Stegostoma tigrinum: one gene and its partners. The protein of the gene in region 1 purifies or fractionates together with the protein of each later gene. This does not show direct contact. Links are inferred from orthologs where the notes say so. Each region holds a gene or a part of one and is shown in the gene's direction. Other genes may lie near its edges. The genes, in order: ctnnb1, ezh2, siah1 and pkma.

Evidence for each region.
Region 2: the proteins of ctnnb1 (region 1) and ezh2 purify together in Homo sapiens (affinity purification with western blotting; 4 studies listed by BioGRID, with this or other methods). This does not show direct contact. The link is inferred for Stegostoma tigrinum from reciprocal best matches to the Homo sapiens genes CTNNB1 and EZH2.
Region 3: the proteins of ctnnb1 (region 1) and siah1 purify together in Homo sapiens (affinity purification with western blotting; 4 studies listed by BioGRID). This does not show direct contact. The link is inferred for Stegostoma tigrinum from reciprocal best matches to the Homo sapiens genes CTNNB1 and SIAH1.
Region 4: the proteins of ctnnb1 (region 1) and pkma purify together in Homo sapiens (affinity purification with western blotting; 5 studies listed by BioGRID and IntAct, with this or other methods). This does not show direct contact. The link is inferred for Stegostoma tigrinum from reciprocal best matches to the Homo sapiens genes CTNNB1 and PKM.

The regions. Positions count from the first base shown.
Region 1 is NC_081355.1:8,430,132-8,438,137, forward strand, and holds the start of ctnnb1 (catenin beta-1), read left to right. Parts: upstream 1-4,984; 5' UTR 4,985-5,095; exon of another isoform or gene 5,096-5,101; intron 5,102-5,185; exon of another isoform or gene 5,186-5,315; intron 5,316-8,006. UniProt on the Homo sapiens protein: Key downstream component of the canonical Wnt signaling pathway.
Region 2 is NC_081355.1:98,007,358-98,014,203, forward strand, and holds the start of ezh2 (histone-lysine N-methyltransferase EZH2), read left to right. Parts: upstream 1-3,820; 5' UTR 3,821-4,104; intron 4,105-6,846. UniProt on the Homo sapiens protein: Polycomb group (PcG) protein. Catalytic subunit of the PRC2/EED-EZH2 complex, which methylates 'Lys-9' (H3K9me) and 'Lys-27' (H3K27me) of histone H3, leading to transcriptional repression of the affected target gene.
Region 3 is NC_081369.1:29,622,271-29,629,286, forward strand, and holds the start of siah1 (E3 ubiquitin-protein ligase Siah1), read left to right. Parts: upstream 1-4,008; 5' UTR 4,009-4,438; intron 4,439-7,016. UniProt on the Homo sapiens protein: E3 ubiquitin-protein ligase that mediates ubiquitination and subsequent proteasomal degradation of target proteins.
Region 4 is NC_081389.1:14,446,863-14,453,771, reverse strand, and holds the start of pkma (pyruvate kinase PKM), read left to right. Parts: upstream 1-3,897; 5' UTR 3,898-3,912; coding exon 3,913-3,941; intron 3,942-6,909. UniProt on the Homo sapiens protein: Catalyzes the final rate-limiting step of glycolysis by mediating the transfer of a phosphoryl group from phosphoenolpyruvate (PEP) to ADP, generating ATP.

The DNA.
Region 1 (8,006 bases):
CCATGCTGACTATGTATCTTAAATTAATATAGTCCCATTTGCCAGCATCTGGACCATTTCCCTTTAAATCCTTCCTATTCATGGACCCATCTTGAGGTGAGATTCAAATCTGGAGTTTCCAGCTCTGAGGCAATGACACTACACATTGCATTGGCTAATTTGTCCTCCTTGATTTTCTTACAGAAATCTAAAATGCCATTGTTTAGCTTCAAACATTGATCAGTTAGGAGGGAACTTGTACATTCCTTGAATGAAAATTTGATATATGGGCATTGTATACATATTTATTTTTGTGAGTTTATGTTCAAAATTATTCCTGGTCAGGACATAAACTGTTGAAATTCCTAATACATCAATAATTCTATTTCCAGATGAATTATGTTACTCTGACTCAGACAGCCCCAATGTGAGAAAACAGAATGTCTGGAAAAATAATTTTCAAACTGTCAGTTTATTTCATTGCTGATGGAACTCCCTTATAATAATGAAGGATCATCTTGGCATAAAAATCATTATCGATTTACAGCTTTAGTTGTTCCAGAATTCTTTCTTACCGTGAAATTATTTTGTCTCTGATTGGTTGTTCTTGCTGTATTCATATACATATAGTTTGATAATTATCAATTGTCTAACAGGAATAATCATTGGAATCAATGATTATCTATTCCTTCCACTCCTATGAAAAGTTTACAGGCTCTGAGGGGGCCTAATGCAAAAAAATTGTCCCTTCTTATTGAGAAGAAAAAAGATTTTCAGGAGACAATAGTTTTGCATTTAAATGGCACATCATCAGTGAGTTTCCATGTGTTTTAAAAGTCAGTTGACTGTGTTTGTTAAAACATTGAAAAGAATGGAGTGTTGTTTTTGCAATTTGCAGCAATGATCGAAGCAGTAAGTTCTTTCACTGTTCATGTTGCCGTATGTGTTAGATGGTGAGAAATCTGGGATTTGCACTTTGGCTAGCATTGAACAGTTTTTTCATGATGTCTTTGCAGTGATCATGAGGATCAATGACGTGCCAAGTCTAACTCTATTTGTTCCAGACCATAAGCTCTTACTTGGATCAAAACCAAGAATCAAGAACTTTCTAAAAATTCATTCATGGCATGTGGATGTCGCTGGCTAAGTCAGTATTTATTGCCCATTCCTAAGAGTCAACCACATTGCTGTCGGTCTAGAGTCACATGTAGGCCATAGTAGGTAAGGATGACAGTTTCCTTCCCAAAAGGACATTAGTGAACCAGATGGGCTTTTCCAACCATTGACAAGATTTTCATGATCATCACTGGACTGTTGATTCCATCTGCTATGGAAGAATTTAAACTCGGGTCCCAAAATGTTGCCTGGGTCTCTGGATTAATAGTCTAGTGCCATTCTGCCCCCATTATATATTTATAACGCACCTCTCAAACGGTGAAACACCTCAATGTACTTTACAGGCACAATACAGGAAAAAGATTTTGCAGCAAGTAATGTAAATCCTAAGAACATGAGAATTATAATTGGCAGTAGGCCATTCAGCCCAGTAAATCTATACCACCATTCAATATGATCATGGCTCAGCTGATTGCAGCCTTTGACAAGATGACAAAAAGATTGCCAAAAAGGTAGGCTTTTTGAGGAGCATTTTGAAGAAAAGAAAAAGGAGAAGAGAGGTAGAGGGTTTCAAGGAAGGATTTCAGAGTTTAGGACATTTGCAGATGAAGGCACAGCTACCCATGGTGATACGTTTAAATTTGGTATTCTCAAGAGGTCACAATATCAATGAAATCTGTACCATAAGGCACTGACACATATTATATAGTGAGGATGCTGCAATCAAAAGACTTAAATTCATGTTTCGGGGCAGGAAGTATCAAGTACTGGTTGACAGAAGTACTCTGGCTTGCATGTTACATGTGTTGAGTTGCAGGTCTTAATAATGCTTCAATTGGGCAGTAACACATAAGATCTAAGTAATTCCATATGAAATTAAGTACCAGAGAGCTAGTTATATTGTGCAGATATCAACTGCCTTCTAATGCCTGGAAATTAAGTGGTATTGGCAATAATCAGCAAATAGTTATTGAGGACATGCAAAAAACAGGTGAGAAAAAAAAGGACAGAAAAAAGGGTTACAAAAATGACTTTAAGAAAAGGTACAATATATGTACCACAGGATTCCAGAATGTCATCCAACCTGTTAAACTTATTTGAGTTTGTATCACAATCCCATATGCTGCCACTGGCGAAGGAGCAGTGCTCCAAAAGTTTGTGATTGCAAATAAACTTGTTGAACTAAACTATAAGTTGGTGTCATGCGACTTTTGACTTTGTCCACCCCAGTCCAATACGCATATTGACATCTTCCAATGGCGAGCTGTGTTCGATTGAGGTCATGCCTCAGATAAAGATGCTGCTGGGTCACAGGATCAGGCAGTCACTCCCATGATATCATGTTTGAGTTGAATTACAGCAAAATAAAGCTCAACCAACCAATCAGTGAGTGGCTGCACAATGACACTCAAATGTGATGGGTACTAATAGATGATTCTGTTTATGAAATCAGACAGTGGTTACCTAGACAATGATTAACTATCAAAGTATACAGTTAAATAAAATATGTGAAAATGCTGGGAATATATCTCAACGTCAGGCAGCTGTTCTTTTTATTTGTTCAACAGCACATGTGGGAGCCATTGGTTACATCAGCATATGTTGCCCATCCATAATTGCCATGGAAAAACTGAGAGTGTGCTGCCCTCATGAGCTCCTGCTGTTCTCATGGTGTAGGGATATAAACATAAGAAGGAACAAGAGTAGGCCACTTGGCCCGTTGAGCCTGTTCCCCCATTCAATAAGATCATGGCTGATCTGATTTTAACCACAACTCTTCGTTCCCGCATATCCCATCGATAATTTTGAACCCCTCAGGAATCAAGAATCTGTCTACTTCTGCTTTAAAAATATTTAAAGATTCTGCATCCACTGTGTTTTGAGGAAGGGAATTCCAAAGATTCTCAATCCTCGGGGAGAATTTTTTCCATATCACTGATTTAAAGGGGTGACCATTCACTTTTAAACTGTGACCTCTTATTCTAGGTTCCCTTACAAGAGATTCACATGATATCCACCTGCTCAAGGCCCCTCAGAAGGATCTTCTGTGCTTCAATGAAGTCCCTTTGACTCTTCTAAACTCCTGACAACACAGGCCTAACCTTTCCTCATAAGGCTATCTGTTCATTCCAGTTATTAGTCGAGTAAATCTTTCCTGCACAGTTTCCAATACATTAACATCCTTCTGTAAGTATGTTGACCAGTACTTATACCATAATTTGGATGCAGTCTCACTAAAGTCCTCTATAACTGAAACATAACCTCCCTAATGTTGCATTAAATTTCCCTCAAAATAAAACATAATATTCTATTAGTTTTCCTAACCATTTGCTGTACCTTTGTACCAACCCTCCTTGATTCATGCACAAGCACGCAGACCTCTCTGCATCTCAGAGCGGTGCAACCTCTCACCAGTTAGATAATATGCATTTTTTTTGCTGTTTCTGCCAAAATGGATAATTTCCCACTTTGCCACATTATACTCGTTACCAGTTCTTTTGTCCACTCACTTAACCTATCTGTATTGCTTTGTAAGATCACCACAGTACATGCTACACAACCGTGACACAATTTTGACTGCTGTATTCTTCATTTACTACACTTCACAAGTATTTCATTGACTGATTTTTAAAAATGTCTTGAGCATAAGAACCTTCTGAATGTAAAAATATAATTGCATATTATATGTAACACTTTTCGCTAATAATACGCCAGATGCCGTCTTCACCAATAAGAATTACAAATCTCACATAATTCAAGGCTTAAATACTTCATTTGGGGTTCCATTTCATGGATAGTGTGGTTACTTTACATTTGCACAGCTTGAAGCTAACGTTTATAAATAAATGATGCAGTTCCGAAGGTTATAAATCATAATTGATTTAGCTTTGTTTTCTTTTTAGATTGAGCCAGGAAGATTCATGTGGGAAGTAAGTGGGAATAGAAAAATTACTTTTGCAAATAAAAGACCACATTGTTCTAGCCTTATTTTTAGGATCGGTTTTGCTTTCGGTAATCCAACCAGGCTGCGACTTAAGTATTTTTGCACACTGGAATACTTTTTCCACTAATGCTGCAGCATTTTTCCTTTGTGTGGGATGCCTAGAAGTGAACTTTGTACATCTCTACTTCCGTGAATTTCAATGAATTTTGGGTGAGTTCATTACTTTTTGAAATGCTTAACTCGTACGTGTTACAACCAAAATAACTCTTGAGGCTCGCTCTCCTCCCCGACGAAAGAAAATGGTGCGGGTTTCTTTTTATCCCCACGCTTCGTCTTTTGTGTTTGCAAAACTCGGGTCTTTGAAGTTAACTGTTTACTTTAGAAAGTTAAAAACTCAATCGCGAAGAATGCAAGTTTGGTGGGAAAGGGAGGGGAGAAATTTATTGCAATTCTGGCCCCAATGCAGAAACGTATATGAAATTCACGAACATAAAAGTCCAAATAAATAAAAGGATGTTATGCATATGGTGGAAAGTCTCATTGCAGCTGCAAAAATAAAGTTGCTTCGCTGAGCTGCTACTCGCTGCCTCTGTGGTTCCAGCGATCCTTGACCACAAGGTGTTGTGGCTACGGCACCTAGCCAGTATCCTTCCGCGACGTTCCGGGCCTGGGTAAGGGAGCAGTAGAAAAGAAATGGGGGTGGGCATAGGCAAAAATAGGTTTTATCAACAGTCACAAATCAGATCAAACATAACCCAACTCTAGACTGTGCTGTAAAATTTTAAGTTTGACATAGGTTTATGCGTTGTCTGCGTGTGATAAAGGCCGGAGAAGGGTTAAGTTATTGTTATTTTAATTATAAACACCCCCCTTTTCACCTTCCTTCTGCCAGGTGTGGGCTGGAAAATTACGCACTACATTCCGCAGGCGGAGGGGCACGCACCGTGTCGCTGCCACTTTATAAAGAGACGTTGCTGCCGGTCGCCATTTTGATTGGAGTCGCTGGCAGCGGCGGTTGTTGGAAAGCGGGAGACGGAGGAGGAGGAGTGTAAGAGAGTGAGTGTATGTGAAAGGGAAAAGTGGGGCGTGGGAGAGAGAGATGGTGGTGGGCAGAGCTGATAGCGGGGCGACCCGGAGGAAGAGCGAAGACATTTATTAAAAATACGTAAAGAAGTTAAGAGTTCACCGTCACCCCCGCGATCACTCTCGAAGCCGCGGAGAGGAGTTGGAGTGGCCGCTGCTTCCCGACTTTAGAGGTGCCCGTCCTTCAGCGACGGTGGGTGAGAAAGAGCCCGGCCTTCTCCGGCCCTTCCCTTGGGAGAGGGGGTGGATTAGAGGTTGTTCTCGAGGTGGTGAGTGAGGAGGGACTGAGTTTCCAGATCCTCCCGCTTTCAGAATTAAAAGATCGAAAAGTCGATTAACTCCCGAACAACGTGGCATCGGGGGAAGGGCGGGTGTTTATTATCAGGAGAAAAGGGGGTTGGAGTTTACCCCAGAGAGGGGGCAGGAGAAAGAGGGGTTTAAAACCGTGGGTGATTGGGAGGGGAGGGGGGGCTAGAGAGAGAGAGAGGAGGGTGTATCTTCTCCCCCGGAGGGAGAGCAGAGGGGAGCTTCCAACCCTCTGGGGGAGGGGGGGCACCTTTACCCTCATGGGGGGGAGAGAACCCTCAGAACTGGAAGGAATTTCTCCCCCCCCCCCAGAAAGGGGGCAACTGGAGAGGGCTTTACCCCAAATCGGGGGAGGGGATGGGGGTTCAACTGGAGAGTGGAGACAAGTTAGGTGTGAGGATGCTTAACCTGTTGGAGGAAGAATTGAAAAGGTGGTCTTTAATCTGAGGGGCTTAAGTAGGGAAAATTTACCCCAGTAGGGGGCAGAAGTGAGATGGAGGTTGTTTACCCTGAGGGGGTGGGAGACAGTTTGTAACCATGGAGCTTTGTGCTAATTACTGTGGGAAGGGGCAGAAATTGTGTTCCCGGGCTGGGGGAAAGAGAGCGAGAGAGATACGATCGTTACCCTGAATGTGTTTTTAAATCCCAACGTGGATGTGGTGGGATGGGTTTCTACTTTGGTGGAGGGCAGGTGTTTGCATCTCCAGTCTGGACAGGGAGATGGGAGGGTGTTCCTACTTGGCTTAAGAAGTTTGGAAGCAGAGGGGCCAGTGTTTTCCCGGCTTCATGGCTACAAGACTGGGCTACAAAGGTTGTAGAGTTAACTCTTTACCACAGGTTGTAAAAGTGCATCTGTAAATTATAGGAGTGTGGGAAAGTGAATGCCTTAACTGGGTGAAATTACAAAGTGGGTTTCCATTGGTGAAGTGATTTTGTTTTCTAAATTGGCAGCATGCAGCTTAACACCCAAACTTTGAGTGTGCAAGTATATGCTGAGATGGTTGAGAAATTGCCTGGAATCCTGAGCTGTATTTGGTGAAAATTGATGAAATGGGACAAAACTTGCTCATTAACAACCAAATGAGTAGGTGACTCATACAGCAGTCTGGGATTTGCATTTTGAGATTTTTGCTGATAAATGCTTTATCATAGGCAAATAGATCTGTTTTTACACTAGTATGTAATTTTTAAGCAGTGGATTATCTATTAACCTCAATGAGGAAAGGCGCATACATGCACAAATTCATTTTGATAAATTTAGAGCAAGTTTAAACTATCTATTTTCTTCCAGTGTCTTGTTGTGATATGGGCTTTTGCTGCATGTTTCATGTTCTGAGGATACCATTTGCAGAGTACATAAGTTTAGTGTGGCCACGACTGTGACAATTGTGGGTTATCTTTCTAGTCTCTTTCCTACATTCTGCTTCTGTGAATTGTTGATTTACATGTCAGATCTGTTGTCTGCATGTTGTGTGTATGTAAATCTCAAATCTTCGTATCGATAGTTACACATCTGTATTCATTGTAGTTGGTTTCTGAGTATTTTCATGGTTTGCAAGTTTGTTTTCCCTCTGTACAGTGCATTAATTACAGTTTCAAATGAAAGTTGGGATTTCATGTAGAAGCAGGAATCTTGTACTGTTGGTAGACTTGGATGTTAAGTTGAGGCACTTCCATTTTGAGTGGAAAGAGAAACATGATGGTGTAGTATCAAACAATTTGTTTGAAATTTCATTATGTATTTAACTTAGAAAATAAAATGTGAAGTGTTTAGGACCAACTGGTTTTTCCTATGTGACTGACCAGATGTTTTTAGCACACGATAATATGTATTGACAGTAGTGTACATCTTCTGGGAAAATGGATACAAAGTCAGAATTCCATCTCTGAAATCCAGTTCTAGTATCTCATAATAAGAACAAAATTTTCAGTAGTCACAAAAGATCTGTGGTCACGATTTGAGGTTTGTATTGCAATACATGCTTTGCATTTTAAACTATTGGCTAAACTTAAAGGCTGTTCTGTTTATTTATGGGCTTCATGTATTTTGGTGTCATTGGACTTGGTGACTTGTAACTGCTTTATTTTATACTATTATGAGCATGACAATTCATTCAGTGGATGTTGCATTCCAATTACTGATTTCTTTTATTGCTGTCTGATTATGAAATTGAGAAAGCTGTTGAAAATGACTTTTTTTTGAAAAATTAGTGTTCTCATAGTTTCACCAGAAGTGGTGATGCTGCATGAATTTCATTGTTCTGGTATATGTTGTACATTTTATTGCAGCTGTTTTGTTTGCACTAAACAGTGCAGCAGAAAGAAATTTAAAGATGTTAAGTTAGCATTTGTATTTTGATAATTATACCCTTTATCTCTCCTTTCGTGAACATTGTGGCTCCAGTTGGACTGTGGTTTGAAGGCTGCTGGCCACCAATCATCACAGTACTGCACTGGATTACTCTATAATTGTAAACAATAGGGGGAGCAGAGAAGGATTTATCAGTTGCACTAACCCCTCCCTGTGCATATGAAAAGCAAGCTGGAGTCCTCGACTGCCCTGTTTTGCTTCCTTGTG
Region 2 (6,846 bases), about 90 Mb from region 1:
GCACCATTTATGTACTTAAATATCTTGATGTGCTTCACAAAACTACATGGAGAAACGAGATTCAAGGGAGTTCTCTTTATATCCTTATACTTCAGTTTTAAGCTTGTACTGAATACAAGAATCCACATTGTTTGCTGGGTAAACAATAACGAACAATAAAATAATATTGTCCTCGAGCGCGAGAGAGAGAGAGAATGAATGGGAGTAAATAATAAGAAAATAAGCAAATTGTTTGCAAAAATAAACTGTAATTTAAACTTAGATTAATGGTAACCAAGAAACCACTGTTTACTATCCTAAAAATCCATCTGGTTAACTAACATTCTCAGGGAAGGATATCTGCCATCGTTACCTGATCTGGTCAACTTGTGACTAAGGACCTGCAAGCAACATGGTTGACTCTTAAATGCCCTCTAAAATGGCCTCGCAAGCCACTCAGTTGTACCAAGCCACAATGAAGTCTCAAGAAAGAAATGAAACTGAACAGACCACCTGGTATTGATCTCGGCACTGGAAACAAAGCAAACTCAGCCCTGTGAAGTAATCCTTACAAATATTTGGGGGCTTGTGCCAAAATTGAGAGATCACATTATCTGCAGGTATGATTCTGCAAGCGTGATTATTTCTCAGACATTGCCATAATCAGCTCAGAATATTCTGCCCTGTTGACATGACGGAACCACCCAGAGGTGGTGGCAGAATGGTACAGTCAGGAGGGAAATGTTTCGGCAGTCTTCAAAATTGACTCTGAACCCCACAAAGTTTAATGCTATCAGGCCAAACATTGGCAAGAAAACATCCTGCTGATTACCTCACACTAATTCCCCTTCCCTCAACTGATGAATCAGTTCTCTTTCATGTTGCACACCAATTGGGAGAACATGGCAAGGGGAAAGAATGCATTCTGGGTTAGGTATTTCAACATAAATCACCAAAGTGGCACAACAGCACACTAATGACCAAACTAAGATTCTTAGGGGTCTTGACAAAGAAGTTGTATACCCTTGTCTAGGACCAGAGGGGATAATCTCAGAGTAAGGGGTTTCCCAGTTAGGATAGAGAAGGTTTTTTCCCCCTCTCAGAAGACAGTAAATCTGTGCAAACCTTTACAACAGAAGGCTGAGAAAGTTGTGTTGTTAAGTATATTCAAGGCTGAGGATTATCAAATCAATCTTAATTGCATGGTGGAACAGACTCAATCAGCCAAATAACCTGCTTCTATCTCAGATAGCCTCATATCCCACCCTCAGTGTTGGAAGAGAAGACCAGTACATTCAGGACTAAAAACAAGGCTGAAGCATTTGCATCAATCTTCATTCAGAAATGCTGAATGGATGATCCACCTCAGCCTTCTCCTAAGATTTCTAGCATCACAAATACCATGCTTTATCGACTTCAATTCACTCCACATATTAAGAAACGGCTAAAAGTGCTGGACCATGATAACATTTTGGCAACAGTACTGAAGTTGTGTCCTCCAGAATTAGCTATGCCCCGAGCCAAACTGTTCCCATTTAGCTATAAAACTAGCATCAAACCAGCAATATGTAATAATTGCCTAGGCACGTCCTGTACGGTATATGCAAAAAGCAGGGCAAGTCCAATGACTGCCTCATCAGCAAGGTGACCAAAGGAGTTGCTGACAGTGTCATCAAGTACCAATTACTCAGCAAAAATTTTCTCATTGCATTCAATTCCACTCAGATCTGGAACTCATCATATCCTTGGTCTAAACATCGACAAGGTAACTGAAGGTGAGGTTAAAGTGATGATCCTTGATATCAAGGCAGCATTTGAGTATCCTTTGTTATGGATAGTGTCAAGCTTTTTGAGTTTTTGAGCTGTAGACATGAGGTAAATGGAGAGCATTCTATCACACTTCTGATTTGTGTCTTACAGAGGATGAACGGCTTTTATGGAATCAGGAATTGTGTTATTTGCTGAAGAATTCTTAGCCTCTGACCTGCCCTTGTCCAGCAACATCAATTCTGTGAAGGAACCCTAGCATAAATGGAATCAATGGGAATCATATGGAAAACATTCTATGTTTGGAGGCTTACCTAACACAAGGGAATTGTTCAGGACCATTTGTGACTCCTCAGATACTGACGAATCCATATCCCCAAGCAGCAAGACCTGGACAATGTTGATGCTTCAGGTGATAAGTAAGCCTGACAAATCGCAGCAACATTCACGTAATGCAAGTGCCAATCAATGGCCACGGGAGAATTTAATCATTTCCATTTGACTTTCAAATACATTACCATGTTGAAACCCCACTACCAGCACAAGCTTCCCATTGAACAAAACTGAACTATTAGCCACAGAATTGATGTGGCTGGACAAGGGCAGGTCAGAGGCTAAGAATTCTTCAGCAAATAACACAATTCCTGATTCCATAAAACCCGTTCATCCTCTGTAAGACACAAATCAGAAGTGTGATAGAATGCTCTCCGTTTACCTAATGTCTACAGCTCAAAAACTCAAAAAGCTTGACACTATCCATAACAAAGGATACTTCACTGGTATATCATCCACTACTTTCAACATTCATTCCCTTCACCTCTGACAGATCATGGCAACATTGTACACCAATTACAAGATGCATTCAGCAACTCACCAAGGTTCTTTTGACTGCGCCTTCCAAACCTGCACCCTCTACCATCTAAAAGGGAATGTGCAACACATGCTTAGGAGCATCACTATCTGTAAGTTTCGCTTCAACCCACAAACCATCCTGATTAAACTATTTTGCCATTTCTTTATTTGAAACCCTGCAACTTCCTTACAGCCAAATGACTTCTGTGGCAACCTCCCCTACTGTGGGTGCACTCCATGGATTGCAAGGAGGCAGCCCATTACCACCTCTCAAGGGTAATTAGAGATGTAGAATAAATGAATGACCAGAAAAGCACCTAACTAAACCCAGTGAAATATTGAAGCACATTCAACAAAGGCACAGAAATAGATGTTCGCATAAACATTTTTGAATAACTTGTTTAATATGGTTGCACTTCGGACAAAATATTCGTTCGTTTTAAGCTGCATCTAAGTTTTTTTTGTTCCTGAAGGTAGTAACCCTGGCAGGGATCTGCTTCTACACGTGCCAAGATCCCTCTCACAGATAACCATAATTCACTTGAATGTAGTGTCAAACTATTACTGTGGACAGAACCCCGAGCAAGTTTGATCCTTTCATTGTCTGGACTACATACAGCCTTTCCAGTAGAAGACAGACCGGAAAGTCTCAATTCACGGGGGTGTCTAGGCTGATGCGGAAAAACAAAATGAAAATGGTTTCAAGAGAAAGCGAAAATGTTCGCATCGTTACGCCCAGCTCCATCTGAAACATAAGAGTGAATCCGGAACGTGAAGTTAGTAACCTTTCACTAGTAGAACTTGCTCAAAACTGAAAATGCAACAGCAGCAACTCTCGGTGCCAAGCAGCCAATGGTGACAGGAATCTTCATTTTCAGGCTGGGGAACAAGGAACTATAAATAGAAACCCGCACATTACAATTGGAGGATACACCCGCATAGCTTGAGTCATCCCTTGACATCGCATCTCGATGTAGCTCCGTCCTGACAGATCCAAGTTCCACGAGCGCGACTTACTCAACGTTTACCAGAACGACGGGCACATAAAAAAAACCACCCCTGAAAGCCCCACAAAGAAGCACCACATGGTCACATCCCACACTCCCATGCGAGGTTAATGCAGATTGGAGGAAAGTGGGCCTCCTGCGCCCAATGCAAGAAGGGTTTGTTAGCAGGCTTCAGCAAAGTTTGATTGGATTGGACACGTTGTTTTCGCGCCCTATCTGTGTAGCCGGGCGGAGAACGAAGACAAAAGGAGAGAAAGAAAAGAAGAGTGAGAGCTCGGAGACGGAGTGCGAGCGGGACAGACAGAGGCAGTCAGCCACCCAGCCGAGGACGTGAGAGTAACGGCTGCCGGCCGGCCCGATCACCGTCCTGACACCCGCGTAACCCGGCTGTAAACTCACCCAGTAAAACTCTCGCAAAGTTTCGGCTCCAAGTTAGCCCGGCTGACAGCGGCAGAGAAGGAGGAGGTCAGCAGGGATCAGCTTCTGCTTCTCCATCCAGGTAAGGAAGAGGCGGCAAGAATAGAAGTCTCCGTCAGTCCGGTTGGCTGCGGAAGCCCTGGGCTGGCGGAAATTTGAATTCCAACGGCCAGAGCTGGCGGCCAAGCGTTTGGAATCCGCGCGCTCGCCACGTTAGGTTCCAGCCTTCCCCCACCGACCCCCTCCCCGAGGGGCAGCGGGTGTAGCGCCGGATTCCCCGGAACATGTTTCCTTTAATTCCCAATCATAAATAAAGGGACAGATTGAAGGCCTGATCCGATCAGACTGTGTAAATCATTCTTTAATCTTGTCATTCACTCGGGGAGCGATTCAGTGTTTTCAGTCGGCTCCAATTTTATCAGCTGCCGAGTTTGAACAGACCAATGGGGGATAAACTTTATCTATTGGAAGTTGATTTCTGCCCCCCCCTCCCCTTCTTCCCTACTAATTCTCCGCCCTTCAGTTACTCCGGGGGATGCCCTTCCTCCGCTTGGCAGTGGAATTAGGGCATGGTGATTAACTCGTTTAGCGGCGTGATGAGAAAACCTAGAGTCATCAAGTGGGATGTAACAAGTAGGAGGTTAAAAAAAACGCATGTCTTATAGCGAAAGAGCAGAGGAGTGGGACTAATTGGTAGTTCTTTCAGAGAAGTCATACACATGATGAACTGAATTGCCTCCCGTGATGTATCATTCCCCTATTATGACGAAAGAGATCTAAAATCAAAATCTGGGATTGAGAAACCAGTCGATATGATGTCAGTGTTATGGGGAGCTGCACGAATCTACACTTAAAATGGTATAACGTCAAGAAACAGAACAGTGAGGTCAGCCTGGAGGTAATCAAATGTGGAGCTGGCTGAACACAGCAGGCCAGGCAGCATCAGAGGAGCAGGGAAGCTGACGTTTAGGGTCTGGACCCGTCTTTTTTTTTTCTGAAGGGTCCAGACCAGAAACGTCAGCTTCCCTGCTCTGAAGCTGCCTAGCCTGCTGTGTTCATTCAGCTTCACATCTAAGACTCCAACATCACAGTTCCTACTATCTCTGAGGTCAGCCTGAGTGCTTACCTCAGTGAAGTTCTAACAGTGCACAGGGTGTGTGTGGGAACCTAGGACTTCTGAACAGGGTTAGCCCTTTGAACCTGTTTGCCATTCACTAAAATCAATACCGATCTGGCTTCAGAGTCATTGATGCCACCACCATCTCTGTTCCATGACAAGGGAGTCAATTTTCTTCTAGGATGTACTTGGCTGGCCTGTTTGCCCTTGAGAAGATGATGGTCAGCAGCCTTTACACCATAGTGTAAACCCTCTCCCTGAGTTGAGTCATCCTTCTCTGAACTGCTTTGAATGCAATTATATCACTCAATTAAAGGGAACAGAAGGCTCCACAGTGGTTCAGATGATGATTCAGTAAGGCCCTGCAGTAAAAGCTGCAGTAAAACTGCCTTTCACATTCAGTTCCCATTACCAATGCAACCTATGAGCTGAGTGCCTGCATGTTTGTTCTGAGGATCTGTCTGTGCCAATCTGTGTGCCATGCATTCATTTTCAGTTTTTTCAGCTATGGCCACATGTGGCCCTTGAAAATCCATGCTGTAGCTGAAAAAATTAAAGGTACATAACTGGTTGCAATAAATGTCAACATTCTGTTGCAAATTATAAAGATGCAGTACACGTTAGGCCTTCAAGAGGGTGAACACAGACCCAATGAAATTTGGGACATGAGGTCAGGACGTAAGTAACTGGTTGGAAAAGAGGGGTAGAGATCAGAACAAGTATTTTGCATCTATCACCACTAGGACTAACATCATAATTTATATTGATGATTTGGCTTTAAGATTAAGGGATTCTAGATCAATTTGCAAATGACACCAAGGGAGCACACCTGACACTGAGCACAAATGCAAGCTGCAGACTAGGAAGTTAAATGACAAGTGAATTTTAATATTGAAATGAGTTGAGTAAGTATAACCTGTGGGGCGGAAAAAGAAAAACATTACCTATGTTTTTAGAAAATTAGAAGTTAGTGGAACATATTAATCCAGGAATGGAAATAGACAAATAATTAAAAGCAACATTGAAGACAGTCAAAATTATTAGAAATGATAAAGCAGTGCCATTTATTTGTAGCAGTATTTAAATTAAGTCATGAAGTGGTATTAAACAAATCTATGTATTGAGTACGGAGTACATCTAGAGCAAGGCATAAAGTACTGGGACAAGTATGGAAATGATTTTCAATGCTGCAAGATTAGGTGATTACAGCTCTTGTGATCGATTAAACAGAGAACTTTTTTCAGGAAAAATGACTTGGAAATCTGAGATGTTTTGAAATTCATGAGTGGTTTGGACAGGATATGTGTGGAGAAGATGTTTCCATTTGAAGTTTGCAAAACAAATATGACATAAAACACTGTTCACTCTTTTGGGTGATGTAAAATATACAGGTCAGTTTATCTTTCAGTGAACAAAACAGAAACGGCTTATGTGGTAATTGTTGCAGATGATTCCAAAATTTCACAAGTGAGTGAAGATTTTTCTCTTCATTTCAGTCTGAAATGATCAGTGTACACTCCTGGTATAAGCTCAGTCTTGTGGGTACTGCATTCCTGATCACCATAACAAAGTTCCAAGGAGCCTCTTGAAACTAATACTCATTGGGTAGGTTATTTTCAAGAAAATATTCAACACAAACATTCTGTCCCTCACACTCGTAGAGCTGTACAGCACTGGAGCAGACTTTTTGGTCAACCTGTCCATACT
Region 3 (7,016 bases), on another chromosome or scaffold:
GATGTAAAAGGTTTGTTGATGCCTTGAATGCAGGTGAGGGGGGAGGTGTAGGGGCAGGTGTAGCACTTCCTGCGGTCGTAGAGAAAGATGCCAGGGGTGGTGGAGCTAGTGGGGAGTGTGGAGCAAATGAGAGAGTCATGGAGAGAGTGGTCCTGACAAAAGGCAGAGGGGGGTGGGGAGGGAAATATTTCTTTGGTTGTGGGGTCAGACTGTAGGTGGCGGAAGTGGCAGAGAATGAGACATTGGATACCGAGGTTAGTGGGGTGATATGTGAGGACAATGGGGTTTTTGTCTTTGTATTTGTTGGGGAGAGGGAATGTGAGGGCAGTGGTGCAGGAAACGCAAGAGTTGCAGTCGACAGCATTTTCAACCACCGACCAGGTAAGTTGCAGTCCTTGAAATAAAAAGACATCTGGGATCTTCAGGAGTGGAACACCCCATCTTGGGAGCAGACGCGGCGGAGACCCAATTCCTTCCAACCCTCCCTCTCATTCCACCTCCTTGACCTGACACGACCTGTCCATCTTCTCTCCCACCTATCCGCTCCTCCCACCTCACTGACCAATCCCCATCACTCCCTACCTGCACTCACCTATCACCATCTCACCTACCTTCCCCAGCCCTACTCCTCCTCTCTCTATTTATTTGAGCTCCCTTCCCCCTCCCCCATTTCTGAAGATGGGTCCTGGCCCAAAACGTCAACTTTCCTGCTCCTCTGTTGCTGCCTATCCTGCTGTATTCCTCCAGCTCCACACTGTGTTATCTCTGACTCCAGCATCGGCTATCCTTCCTACCTCCGAGTGAGATACACCCAGACAGGTGACGCTAGTTAAGGATGATGTGGACACTTTATTGGGAGACACTGGTCTCATGGTATTGTTCCTAGGCTAGTAGTCCAGAGGGCCCCAGACTAATGCCCTGACAACATGGGTTCAAACCTCACTATGGAAGATAAAACATCTGAATGCAATAAAAACTGTCATGAAAAACCTGTCTGGTTCACTAATGCCCTTTGATGCAGGAAATCTGACATCCCATAGCAATGTGGTTGGTTCTTAACTGTACTCTGAGCAATAAATACTGTAACAGCCAACATCCCATGAACAAATACAAAAATAAAATTCAGTACTAATAAAACAATAGACCAAATTTTCAGAGAACTGGCAATCACTTGTAGATTGCCACTTTGGCCCTTCTTTAGTGAAAAAACAATTTCACATTTCTGAGAGGAGATTCTAATCAGGACTCCTTCTGAAATGCAGACCTGTTCTTCTATTCCCGCCCCTGCCACAACCGCCCCCAGAGGATCCCCCTCGTTCTCACATACCACCCCACCAACCTCCGGATACAACGCATCATCCTCCAACACTTCCGCCATCTACAATCCGACCCCAACACCCAAGCTATTTTTCCATCCCCACCCTTGTCTGCCTTCTGGAGAGGCCACTCTCTCCACGACTCCCTTGTCCGCTCCACACTCCCCTCCAACCCCACCACACCCAGCACCTTCCCCTGCAAACGCAGGAAGTGCTACACTTGCCCCCACACCTCCTCCCTCACCCCTATCCCAGGCCCCAAGATGACCTTCAATGTCAAGCAGAGGTTCACCTGCATATCTGCCAATGTGGTATATTGTATTCATTGTACCTGGTGTGGCTTCCTCTACATTGGGGAAACCAAGCGGAGGCTTGGGGACCGCGTTGCAGAACACCTCCGCTCGGTTCGCAACAAACAACTGCACTTCCCAGTCGCGAACCATTTTAACTCCCCCTCCCATTCCTCAGACAACATGTCCAACATGGGCCTCCTGCAGTGCCACAATGATGCCACCTGAAGGTTGCAAGAACAGCAACTCATATTCCGCTTGGGAACCCTGCAGCCCAATGGTATCAATGTGGACTTCACCAGCTTCAAAATCTCCCCTTCCCCCACTGCATCCCAAAACCAGCCCAGTTCTTCCTCTCCCCCCACTGCATCCCAAAGCCAGCCCAGCTCGTCCCCTCCCCCCACTGCATCCCAAAACCAGCCCAGCCTGTCTTCGCTTCCCTAACCTGTTCTTCCTCTCACCCATCCCTTCCTCCCACCTCAAGCCGCACCTCCATTTCCTACCTACCACCTCATCCCGCCTCCTTGACCTGTCCATCTTCCCTGGACTGACCTATCCCCTCCCTACCTCCTCACCTATACCCTCCTCTCTACGTATCTTCTTTACTCTCCATCTTCAGTCCGCCTGCCCCTCTCTCCCTATTTATTCCAGTTCCCTCTACCCATCCCCCTCTCTAATGAAGGGTCTAGGCCCGAAACGTCAGCTAGTGTGCTCCTGAGACGCTGTTTGGCCTGCTGTGTTCATCCAGCTCCACACTTTGTTATCTTGGATTCTCCAGCATCTGCAGTTCCCATTATCACTGTACTTTTATTCTGTCAGTTCTTCTGTGCTGCAAAACTGTCACAGGAAGGAAATCCATGCTCCCTTTTCCTACCAGCCAGCTGCTGCATTCTGAGATTTAAAGGTCCAGACAGTGACTTTGGAAGCTGCTGTTAAATAGTGAATACATCAGATTAGAATAGGGTTATGGTGCTGGGAGTCAATGGTGACAGATAGGTAGGGGTTTAGAATGCTAGTATGCCAGACAGGAATGGTGCCACAAAAGTAGAATGGTAGAATGCCAGTTGTGGAATGGTGGAATGCCAGCGATTAGGGTGCCAGATAGTTAGTGGTGGGTTCCAATGCTTCAGGTAAATAGGATGGATCAGATGCCTGCTAGGAAGAGGTGGGATATTAGATGGGAAGGGGTTGGATGCTTGAGTTCGGTTGCCAGATGAGTAGGTGTTAGGTTGGCAGGCAGGTAGATTGTTGGGTATATGAAGCGCCTGCTGGGTAGGGAAGATGCCTAGCAGTAAGATGTCAGATGCATACGGATGGAGTGCAAGGTGCATAGGGTGCTAGCTGGGGAAATGGTACAGTGACACACATAAAATGCCTGAGCGGGATGGACTGTGGATGAGGAGGGGTAAGCTGCAAGGTAAGTAGGGTGCCAAGTGGGAACATGTCTGGAATTTGGCCAGGGGGCCAGGTCAGTGCTACAGTCTCGAGGGTACGGTGAGGAGGGTGGATGTCAGTTCTGGTGGGTTCAGGTCCAATGGCAGAATCTCCCTGCGTAACTCCCGTCTACGATGAAAATACAATTCTTTGGCCATCAGAAAAGCTGGCCTAACACCCTTTTGATTAAGCCCAGAAAAGCTTCTTAAAAGGGGTAGAAATTAAAATATAAAGAGTTACAAGTTGGTAATTTTTTTGCCATCAGTTAAAGACAATTTGTTTGCAAAATCTAAACGTTTTCTTGTTAAGTAGTTAGTTAAATGTAAAGTTATGGTTAAATACCAGTTTTAATCCTTTGTATTTCCCTCATCCCAACTTTCCCTGAAAATGGGTGACATGGCTGGTTTAGTGGTTAGCAGTGCTGCTTCATAGTGGCAGAGACCCAGGTTTGATTCCACCCACAAGTGACATTGTGGAGTTTGCACATTCTCCGTCTTTGCGTAGGTTTCCTCCGGGTGCTCCAGTTCACCCTCCCGCCCCCCAAAGGTCCAAAGATGTGCAGGTTAGGTGATTAGCCGTGGGAAATATGGGGTTACAGGGATAATATGGGTACGTCTGGATGACATGCTCTTCGAATGGTAGGTATGGACTTGATGGACCAAATGGCCTACTCCACACTGTCGGGATTCTGTGGTACAATACCTTATGAGTATTTTCATTTTACTTGGGTTTGCAATCAAATTAAATGGGGACCCTGGAGAGTTTAATTAATCTTTCTGTGAAGACTCCGGCAGAAGTGAGGTTTGATTTCCAATGCACTGCATTAGCGTGCCATAAAAACTATTTATTATATGTTACTATTAAATTTTGCCCGACATGGTAATCCTAGCTTTGACCAATCTTATCGTCCATGTATGTTCTGGTCCCTCCCATAATGTGGTGTTTTACTCAGTGATGTGTACCTCGGTGACAACAAGGTTGGTCTCAGCTCCTTCAGCACTTCCATCACTGACACGCCAGTTCACAGTCTTGGTCGTTGTCGTCACCGTCTGTGGACCAGGCTCGCGCGGGCTCTGGCTATTGCCGCTGATTGGCCCACCCACTGGAATAATTAGGCGCGCTGCGCAAGGGCAGGTGAGCGCGTTGTGGGGAGCTCGAGCGCGGCCGTTTGGTGCCGCCGCGCGGGAGCAGGAGGCGGGTGGTGGAGGCTGACAGTGGCGGGGGGGGGGGGGGAAAGAAAAGAGAAAGGAGCCGCTGGCCCACCTCGCGTCTGGAGTCGGCAGCGGGTCAGCCTTTGATCCATCTGTCCAGAGAGAGCAGGAGAGTGGGCAAGGAGTGCGACGCACACAATAAGCAGCGACGTATCTGGGTGCGACTCGAGTTTGCATTTTAACGCCGGTGAGTACAGTCAGAAATCGGACCTTTTAAAGTCGCCATAAGGCAGTGAGGTGGGAATCGAGAAGGGGAAGCTCTCTGTTCGCTGGGGAGGGCCATTGCGGCCAGAGTTAGTGCCGATGTTGCATGACTAGGGCAAGCCAGTCCGCCCTCCTGCTGCTTTGTCGTGTTTTATTCGGAAGGCTTAGGGCTCCTGGCCTTTGGCGGAGGCTGCAGTGGGAGCGGATTGTGTTGATTGTTTGTGCGGGAGAGGCCGCCGGCATGGCGAGATTTTAGTAGGCCGCGGCCCTCTGCTCGCTCTCCTACTCGCTATTGTTAGAAATGGCTGGGCTGTCCAGTTCGCTGGCGTTTTAATTTATTATTTACTCATTCCGACCTCGCATTGTTTAGAGCTACCCCTGCGAATGTGTCTCCTAACGCAGTTTTCTGAACGATCGCCAAGTCTTTGCGTTTCCGATCTGGTTACTTCCACCGTATTCTCTCAGCAGCTTTTATTTTTAGTTATTGTTTGTAGTAACACAGCGGGAAGGTAAACAAAAATGTTGGTTCTGGATTGTGATCCAGTACGTTTAGTCTTCTGTTATGTTTGATGCAATGGAAATGTGTGCAGGAGGGGGAAACTCCAACCACTGCGTCTTTGTTCCATGTTGACAATCGCTTTGCTGATAATATAATTTGCCACCGATCACGAGGTCTCAATCTGGTACAGTAGCTTCTGAAGCTATTCTCCAGTTAATTCGTGTGAATCTTTTCGTAGTCTGTAATAATACAGGCAGCCCCAACACTACGTATACGTTGACGTCTTTTAGATGTAGCAGGTGCAAACTAGGCCTGCTATAAAAGGATTTTCCAACAATATATTTTTCTTTTCACCTTGCCCCAATTGTAACTTTTAAACGCAACGTCTGTGTCGGAGTGTTATTTGGTTGCTTAGTCACTGCTGGGATTGAAGTATCTGGAGTAACCAGGTAAAGCACTTAAACATTGAAAAATTGTGTTGTAATGTAAATGGTGGGGCAGTGGTGATAAGGAAGGAGACGATAAGGCTGGCTTAGTATTTGGAAAAGTGAAAAATTGGCCTTTTTGGTAGGAATGCCCTGTCACTAGTTTACTGAATAGGTTTTTCCCCTCATCCTTCTAGCAGAGGATTACCTTTTTGGCCTAAATAAACCATACTTTCTTGTCCACCACTTCCTTTCACGGTTTCTGCACTTGACAACTTAATGCTTATTTCTGTCAAATTAATATGGAGGAATTGGTCAGTTCAGTTGGTTGAATGGCTGGTTTGCAATGTAGAGTGACACCAACATAAGCTCAGTTCTTCCACTGGCTGGAATTGCCATGAAGGATGCTACTTTTCAACCTCTTTCCCCTTTCCTGATGTGTGGTGATCCTTGAGTTAAACCACTGAGTCATCTCAGTAGTCTGTGGTCTTGTCATCTCATGATACTGAGGCAGTCCATGTTCAAATGCAATAAGACATGCACAATAGTGTGGGGTACGGAGTTGGTGTTACTGTTGATCAGAACCTCAACTAGACTGTCTTTGTCTTTTTTAAAATAAAAAAGACTGACTACAAAAGCAGCCCAAGCTAGGAATTTGGCAATGAGGAACTCATTCCCTGACTCCAAAGCCTGCCCATCATCTACAAAGCACAATTCAGTAGCATATTGGAATACTCCCCACTTGCTCGTGGGAGTATGACTCCAACAAAGTTCAAGAAACTTAAAGCCATCCAGTACAAATCAGCTCACTTGACTTGCCAGAGAACCTTAGACCACTTCCATCTAGATAGACGGGGGCAGTAGATATGTGAGCGTACCACCTGCAAGTTCCCCATTCTGATTTGGAAACATGTCGCTCAGTCAAATCCTTAGAATTACTTCCCTCATTGACATTGTGGACCTACTTAAAGCACCTCGCCATCATCTTCTCATGGGTTTCTAGGGATGGGCAATAAATGGTGGTCGATCCATGATGACTGTCATGTGAATTTTCTTTTAAAAACAAAAACTATGGCAACTTTATCTTTTTTAGTGTTGCAAAGAAGCACCTTCTATTGTTTCAACAGGCTGAAAGATCAGGTCTGCAGTCTCTGGGCCATTTTTATACTTAAATTTATTTCCTTGTGGGATTTGGGCATTGCTGGCTGGCCAGCATTTATTGCCTGTCCCAATTTGCCCTTGGGCAACTCGGGTTCTCTGGAAGGTACTTGTCCTTTCTACGCAAGTGTAATACCTGTCTCTTTCTTTTCTCACCACTCCCCAATGTTCAAAATACTCATGGTATAGACAGTAATTTACTTGGGCATCTTGCAACCTTGTAAACTCTGTTCACTGCTCAGTATGGTTTCCTCCACTGTAAAGAGACCAAAAGCAAGTTGAATAGCAGCTTTGCTGATCACTACCTGATCATGTTTCAGGTGCCAAGTGCTACCACTTTAATTCTGTATCCCACTTTGACCTGGGATTAGACTTATCAACCTCTTTTATATAACCACGTAACATTGGTAAGACCTCCTGACTGCTCTGAATAGTTTTGGTGGCTTTTATTTAAGGAGGGATATACTTACTTGGCTGGT
Region 4 (6,909 bases), on another chromosome or scaffold:
TAACATCACAAGTCAAACAGAGACACGCCAGGGAATTCCTGAAGGCCTGGCATTCCAAATGCAACCCCATCAACAAACACATTGAACTGGATCCGATGTACAAATCACTGAAAAACTTGACCGGAAGTAACACCGACGAACCCAGCAAACTGAAGCATACAAATAATAACCAAGACAGAACACCAACGCTTCACCAGAGGTGCACGGATGATGTTACCCAGCAGCATATTGAAACATCAGCAATCAAACACACCAGCTCGGCGAGCAAGCCTACAACCTCATCCGTGGCCCGAGCTACAATATAGAACATAGAATCCCTAGTGTGGCAACAAGTCCACACCAACCCTCAGAGCATCCCACCTCGACCCAACCCCCTATAACCCACCTAATCTACACCTCCCTGAACACGATGGGCAATTTAGCATGGCCAATCCACCTACCCTGCACATCTTTGGACTGTGGGAGGAAACCCGAGCACCTTGAGGAAACCTACACAGACACGGGGAGAATGTGCAAACCCCACACAGATAGTCACCTAAGGCTGGAATTGAGCCCAGGTCCCTGGCGCTGTGAGGCAGCAGTGCTAACCACTGAGCCACCGTGCCGCCCAAACCTTCTCAAAAAACAATGAAGGCTTTTATGTGATCAGTTAAGTGTCACCACTAGATTGATTATCTGCCTCTCCAGCAGATGAGAAGAATGTCAGGTTTCGTCTCCGGCCTCCTTCTGGGCTGGGGAGAGAGACTCTATTTGCCTCAGTCTTGGTGGGGAGGGTGGAAACACAGGATGGTAACACAGGATGGTGGGTATACTCAGATCTGAAATCAAAGCACATAACTTCTTGCCATTTAAACCCCTAAAGCATAGCCCTTGAGAGATGCTGTCTAGTGCCAAGAAGCCATCAGGTTCTGATTGTCTGGCTCTTTCTGGTGGAGGTGAGATTTCAGTATGAAGGTTAGTAATTCACAAGCAGCTCGCTGGTCAGCTCTCAACTTGCTGATTGGAGCTATTATTTTTTCTTTCTCATTGTTGAATTTGGAGAGAGAGTCACTTGACCCTGAGAATGCCTGTCTCCACATTTAGTGCACGCATCTGTGTGTGAGCTAAGTGTCAGGCTAGCTCATTGGTAATGTTTAATCTTTGAGTCAGAAGACTTTCAGGTCACAGAGTTTCTTGGTGCATCAACCTTAAATCTTGCTGTAAAGAGAAACAGGTTACCATTATTTTCCATGTTTTACCCATCAGAACAAATGCAAGAATGCCAAAATTTGAATAATCATGACAATTTACACCTGATGAGACAGGGGTGTTAATTAATTAATCAGCACATTGACATTAGCCAAAAATGTTACCATGGGGAAAACAGTAGGGTAACTCGAGGTTCCCCAAGCAACAGGGACATTCGAAATAAGTTGTAAGGCTTGAATATTGTCCTTTTATCCTGATGAATGTAAGATGAAAAACTTTTAATACTATCTCTCACTTCAGCAATTCCTAATTTTTAAGGATAGTAGGAACTGCTGATGCTGGAGAATCTGAGATAACACGATGTGAAGCTGGATGAACGCAGCAAGCCAAGCAGCAGAGGAGCAGGAAAGTTTGACGTTTCGGGTTGAGACCCTTCAGAAGAAATGTCAAACTTTCCTGCTTCTCTGATGTTGCTTGGCCTGTTGTGTTCATCCAGCTTCACATCGAGTTCTCTCACTTTTTAGGGTTTTGCCCCAGTCTAGGAACATGAGTAAATCATTTACAATCACACTAAGAGATCACTGCACTTTTGAAATTGCCATTTTTTAACTATTAAATTAAACAGGCCCATCCCAAGTTCTTGTTAGATTTATAATGATCACACTCCATTAATTTAAAGTTAAACTGAAAGATTCTACCCATTCAAAGATGTGCAGGTTAGGTGGATTGGCCACGCTAATTTGCCCATAGTGTCTGGGGGTGTGCAGGTTAGGTGGTTCAGCCATACGAAATAGGGTTTATAGAGACAGGGAAGGGGTGGGGGGGTGGTGAGATGGGTGGGAGGGTCAGTGCAGACCTGATGGGTTAAATGGCCTGCTTATGCACTGTCAGGATTCTATGATTTTATCAGTTTCAATCCTGACCCAGGCCCTTAACTGCTACATGTGGAGCTTCCTATGTACAAATTGGCTGTCACATCTCTTCTACTGGAACAGCTCTTCAAAAATTCACCCTAGCCTGTATGTTCCTTTGGGGCATCCTAAAATCATGAAAGTTGATCAAGTTTTTCTTTTGACTTGTTTTGACTACTTTTAGCTCAAGTTGCCAATAAACTCTCTCTTCTAGTGTTGCAGATTTTGCTCTGAAAGCCTCATCACAGTTTGATCAGACAGCTAGAAAGTTTACACCCCTGTACCACATTAAACAAATGTCATTCCTGAGTTCTCTGATAGTTTAAAATATTAAGAGTGTGATTAAACCAAAGCTGATTTATCAAAATCAATTTGCTGAAGACTGGTGGTCAAATGGCCAATCCAGTCAGATTAGTATTCAAAAGAAAAATATAAAGAACAGAAAATATAATCAGAAATCAAAAACACAACAGAGGCTCCTGAAGGTAGATGGAGTTTGACAGAGAGCAGGGAAATGAAAACATAGTAAGCACTACCAATTTCATAAGACCATAAAGACATAGGAGTGGAAGTAAGGCCATTCGGCCCATCAAGCCCACTCCACCATTTAAATCATGGCTGATGGGCATTTCAACTCCACTTCCCTGCACTGTCCCCATAGCCCTTTCAACCTTCAGGTGATTGCCTGATGTAGTGGTAATAATCAGTGAAGTATCAATCCAAAGATTGAGGTTAATGTTCTAAAGTCACAGGCTCAATTTCCACCACAGCAGCTTGCAAAATTAATTATTTAACTAAATTTAACTATTAATACCTACAATTGAATGATTGTCAAATAATGGCAACAACTGTAACAACCATCAAATGTTATTAAAAAACAAAGCCCACCTGATTCTTTCAGGAAAGAAATCTGCTACTACTACCACCACCTTGTGCAAGTTACTCCAAACCTATGGAAATGTGATTTATTATGAACCATCCTCTGAAATGGCTCCCTCATTTCAAAGGCAACAAACACCCACGTACATAATCCCATCAACAAATTTTAAACATAACCTGCAGCATGAGTCACCAGCAGAAGCAGCAAACAGGGCCTGACATCATTGTAACATTACTTTTTTCCCCCCCAACTAACCAGGGCTGATTCAAACCTGCAGTCATTACTTAGGTTCTGAGGAATGATCACACAACCTGAAACATTAACTCTGATTTTTCCTCCACAGATGCTACCAACCCACTGAGCTTTTCCAGCAATTTCTGTTTTTATTACTTAAGGTCTATTTTGCACAATTCCAGAACATTCTGAAGGGTCATTGGATTTGAAACATTAACAGTTCTTTCTCTCCATAAATGCTGCCAGTCCTCCTGAGTTTCTTTAGCAAACTCTGTTTTTGTATCTATACAATTCTAATTGGTATAAAACCCCAATATTGCCTATGTACCTGACAAGGCACCCTGTTTGTTGCATTCTGAGGAAGGATCACTAACCTGAACCATTAACTCAGATTTCCCCTTCACAAACACTGACAAACCTACTGAGTTTTTTCTAGCAATTCCTAGTTCTGACCCTATTTATTGGGCAGGGTTGTAATGGTTGTGCCCATCTATTGGTGGCTTAAAATGTCAGTCAAGAGTCTTGAAGATTTTGACAATTATTGGCTGTACAGGCATGCCAATCAAATGTTTCCCCCGCCCTCATGTATCTCTAATGGGTGTTAGAGCAGCCCGAATCTTGAGGTTTTCTCCTGTATAAAAGTGACTAATATTTCAAAAGCTTTAAAAATTGCAGAGTTACTCTAACTGGTCATCTGTGATGGGCAATGCTGCAAGTAATACCAAAGTGTAAGTACAAGCCTAAAGCAGTAAACGTGACTATGTATATCCTTTTCAAAATATCTGTACCATGTTAATGTGTGACAATTCAAAAGCTGAGCTTTTGTTGTAATATATAAAAAGTATTTTTTATTCCCTTTAAAGGTTTGTTTCAACATAAATTCTAATTGGCAAATATTTGCTTCTCAGATCTTATGGCTCATTCTTATGAAATGTCATGTTATACTTTTATATTAGACAATATATTTTAAAAAGACATTTTCAATATGTATCTACTGATCGTTCTTCAAATTTAGGAAATTATTACAAGCACAGATTTATTTCATCTGGATAATGGTGTTCGGTTAATCGTTAAACCATTATCCTCTTACAAGGGTCAGGTGGATTTTATAAATACATATTTTTCCCACGTGCCTCTAGTGTTCATGACAGTTTTGAGTCCTTAGGTTATGTGTCAGAGAAAACACAAACAGTGAAATGATTGAACGAACAAGAGCTAACAGCTGACCAGAAGTGTTGTGATTTGTGCAGTAGGTTTTAGCAACCCAGTAATTCTTGGACAGACAAAAGGCAAGAGCTAAAAGCAAAGAGTAGAAAAGATGGACTTGCATTTGTATGGAGTTGTCCATAACCGAGACTATCCTGATATGCTTTAAAACCAATGAAGCGCTTCTGAAGTGCAACCTCTGTTGCAACATAGGAACTATGGCAATCAATGTGGAGTCATAGAGAGGTACGGCATGGAAACAGACCCTTCGGTCAAACTCATCCGTGCCAACCAGATATCCTAAATTAATCTACTCCCATTTGCCAGCATTGTGCCCGTATCCTTCTAACGCCTTCTATTCATGCACCATCCAGATGTTGTTTAAGTGTTCTAATTGTACCAGTCTTCACCACCTCCTTTGGCAGCTTATTCCATTCACGTACCACTCTCAACATGAAAAGTTTGCCCCTTATGTCCCTTTTAAATCTTTCGCCTCTCACGTTAAACCAATGCCGTCTAGTTTTGGACCTCCCTACCCTGGGGAAAAGACCTTGATTATTCACTCTACCTATGCCTCTCATGACTGTATAAGCCTCGATAAGGTCACCCTCTCAGCCTGAGACGCTCCAGGGAAAATAGCCCCTTCTTATTCAGCTTATCCATATAGGTCAAACCCTCCAACCCTGGGCACAGCAAGACCCCACAAACAACTATATTGTAATGACCAGATGGTGGAGATTGTTAATGACATTGATTGAAGGGAGGAAATTGTGTGGGGCACCCTTACCCTTGAATACAGTGGCAGAATGTTTTATTGCAGCTTGAGAAAATGTTGAGTAAAACTGTGTGAAAATGTTGCTCCTTAGGTCCCTTTTAAATCTTTCCCCTCTCACCTTAAACCTATGCCCTCTAGTTTTGGACTCCCCTACACTAGGAAAAAGACCTTGACTAATTGCCCTATCCATGCTCCTCATGATTATGTAAACTTCCACAAGGTCACCCCTCAGCTTCCAATGGTCCAGAGAAAACAACCCCAACATATACACCCTCTTCCTATCCTTCAAACCCATCAAGCTCAACTGCTCATTCTTAGTCGGAAACATTGCTTTATGGAGGCAAATTTACCCAGCCTGAGGTCAGAAGCAGCAACATTGAGCAAGAAGGACTAAGTGAGCTTGATAATAGAGATGATGTATTTTGTTTTTCTTGAAGAAACTTCTGTATTTAGTAGAATCAAGGTGAGGTTTGATTTTGAATGACACTCTGAACATTCACTTCTTGCCTTTGAAACAAAGCATCATATCAATTCAGAGATAATGGGAACTGCAGATGCTGGAGAATCCAAGATAACAAAGTGTGGAGCTGGATGAACACAGCAGGCCAAGATGCTGCCTGGCCTGCTGTGTTCATCCAGCTCCACACCTTGTTATCATATCAATTCAGTTGTGGTCTTGTCTCATTAAAATGTTTCTCTCTACCTTCTGAAATTGGTGAAATGCACATCAGAGAGAGGCGGTGGTAATGTCACTGGACCAGTAACCCAATGTAATCTTATTTGTTTGAAAAGAAACTGAAATGAAAGATAGTCTCAGTGATAGTGACCATTAAACTGCCATAAGTTGTCACAAATACCTAACTAGAACGAAGCCTGCCATCCTAACCTGGTCTGGTTCATGTATGACTCCAAAACACACAGTAATCTTAACAGCCCTCAAAAGGCAATTACTTGTGGGCAACCAACACTGGCATTGCCAATATTGCACAGATTCCATCAAAATAAGGAAAAAAAATAATTCTGGTCACTAGGACTGAGTGTGTGCACAATTTTTGGAAAAGAAAATATCATCATATTGCGGCTGTACAGGGCATTTGTTGGGCCACTTTTGGAATATTGTGTTCTTTTCCGGCCTCCCTGCTACAAGAAGGATGTTGTGAAACTTGAAAGTGTGCAGAAAAGATTTACAAGGGTGTTGCCAGGGTTGGAGGGTTTGAACAATAGGGAGACGCTGAATAAACTGGGGCTGTTTTCTCTGGACCATTGGAAGCTGAGGGGGTGACCTTTAGAAAATTTACATAAACAGGAGGAGCATGGTTAGGGTGAATAGTCAAGGTCTTTTGCCTAGAGTAGGGGAGTCCAAACTTAGAAGACGTAGGTTTAAGGTGAGACGGGAAAGATTTAAAAGGGACCTAAAGGGTAATCTTTTCATGCAGAGATTGGTGCTTGTATGGAATGAACTACCTGCGGAAGTGGTTGAAGTTGGCACAATTCCAACATTTAAAAGGCGTCTGGGTGGGTATAAGAATAAGAAGGGTTTAAAGAGATATGGGCCAAATGCTGGCAAATGGGATTAGATTAATTTAGGATATCTTGTCGGCATGGATGAGTTGGACTGAAGGGTCTGTTTCCATGCTGTATATCTCTGAGACTCTATGGCTAATACTTGTTTCATTCAAATCTAATTTAGTTTGTAATTGGCAGTCAGTTGAAAT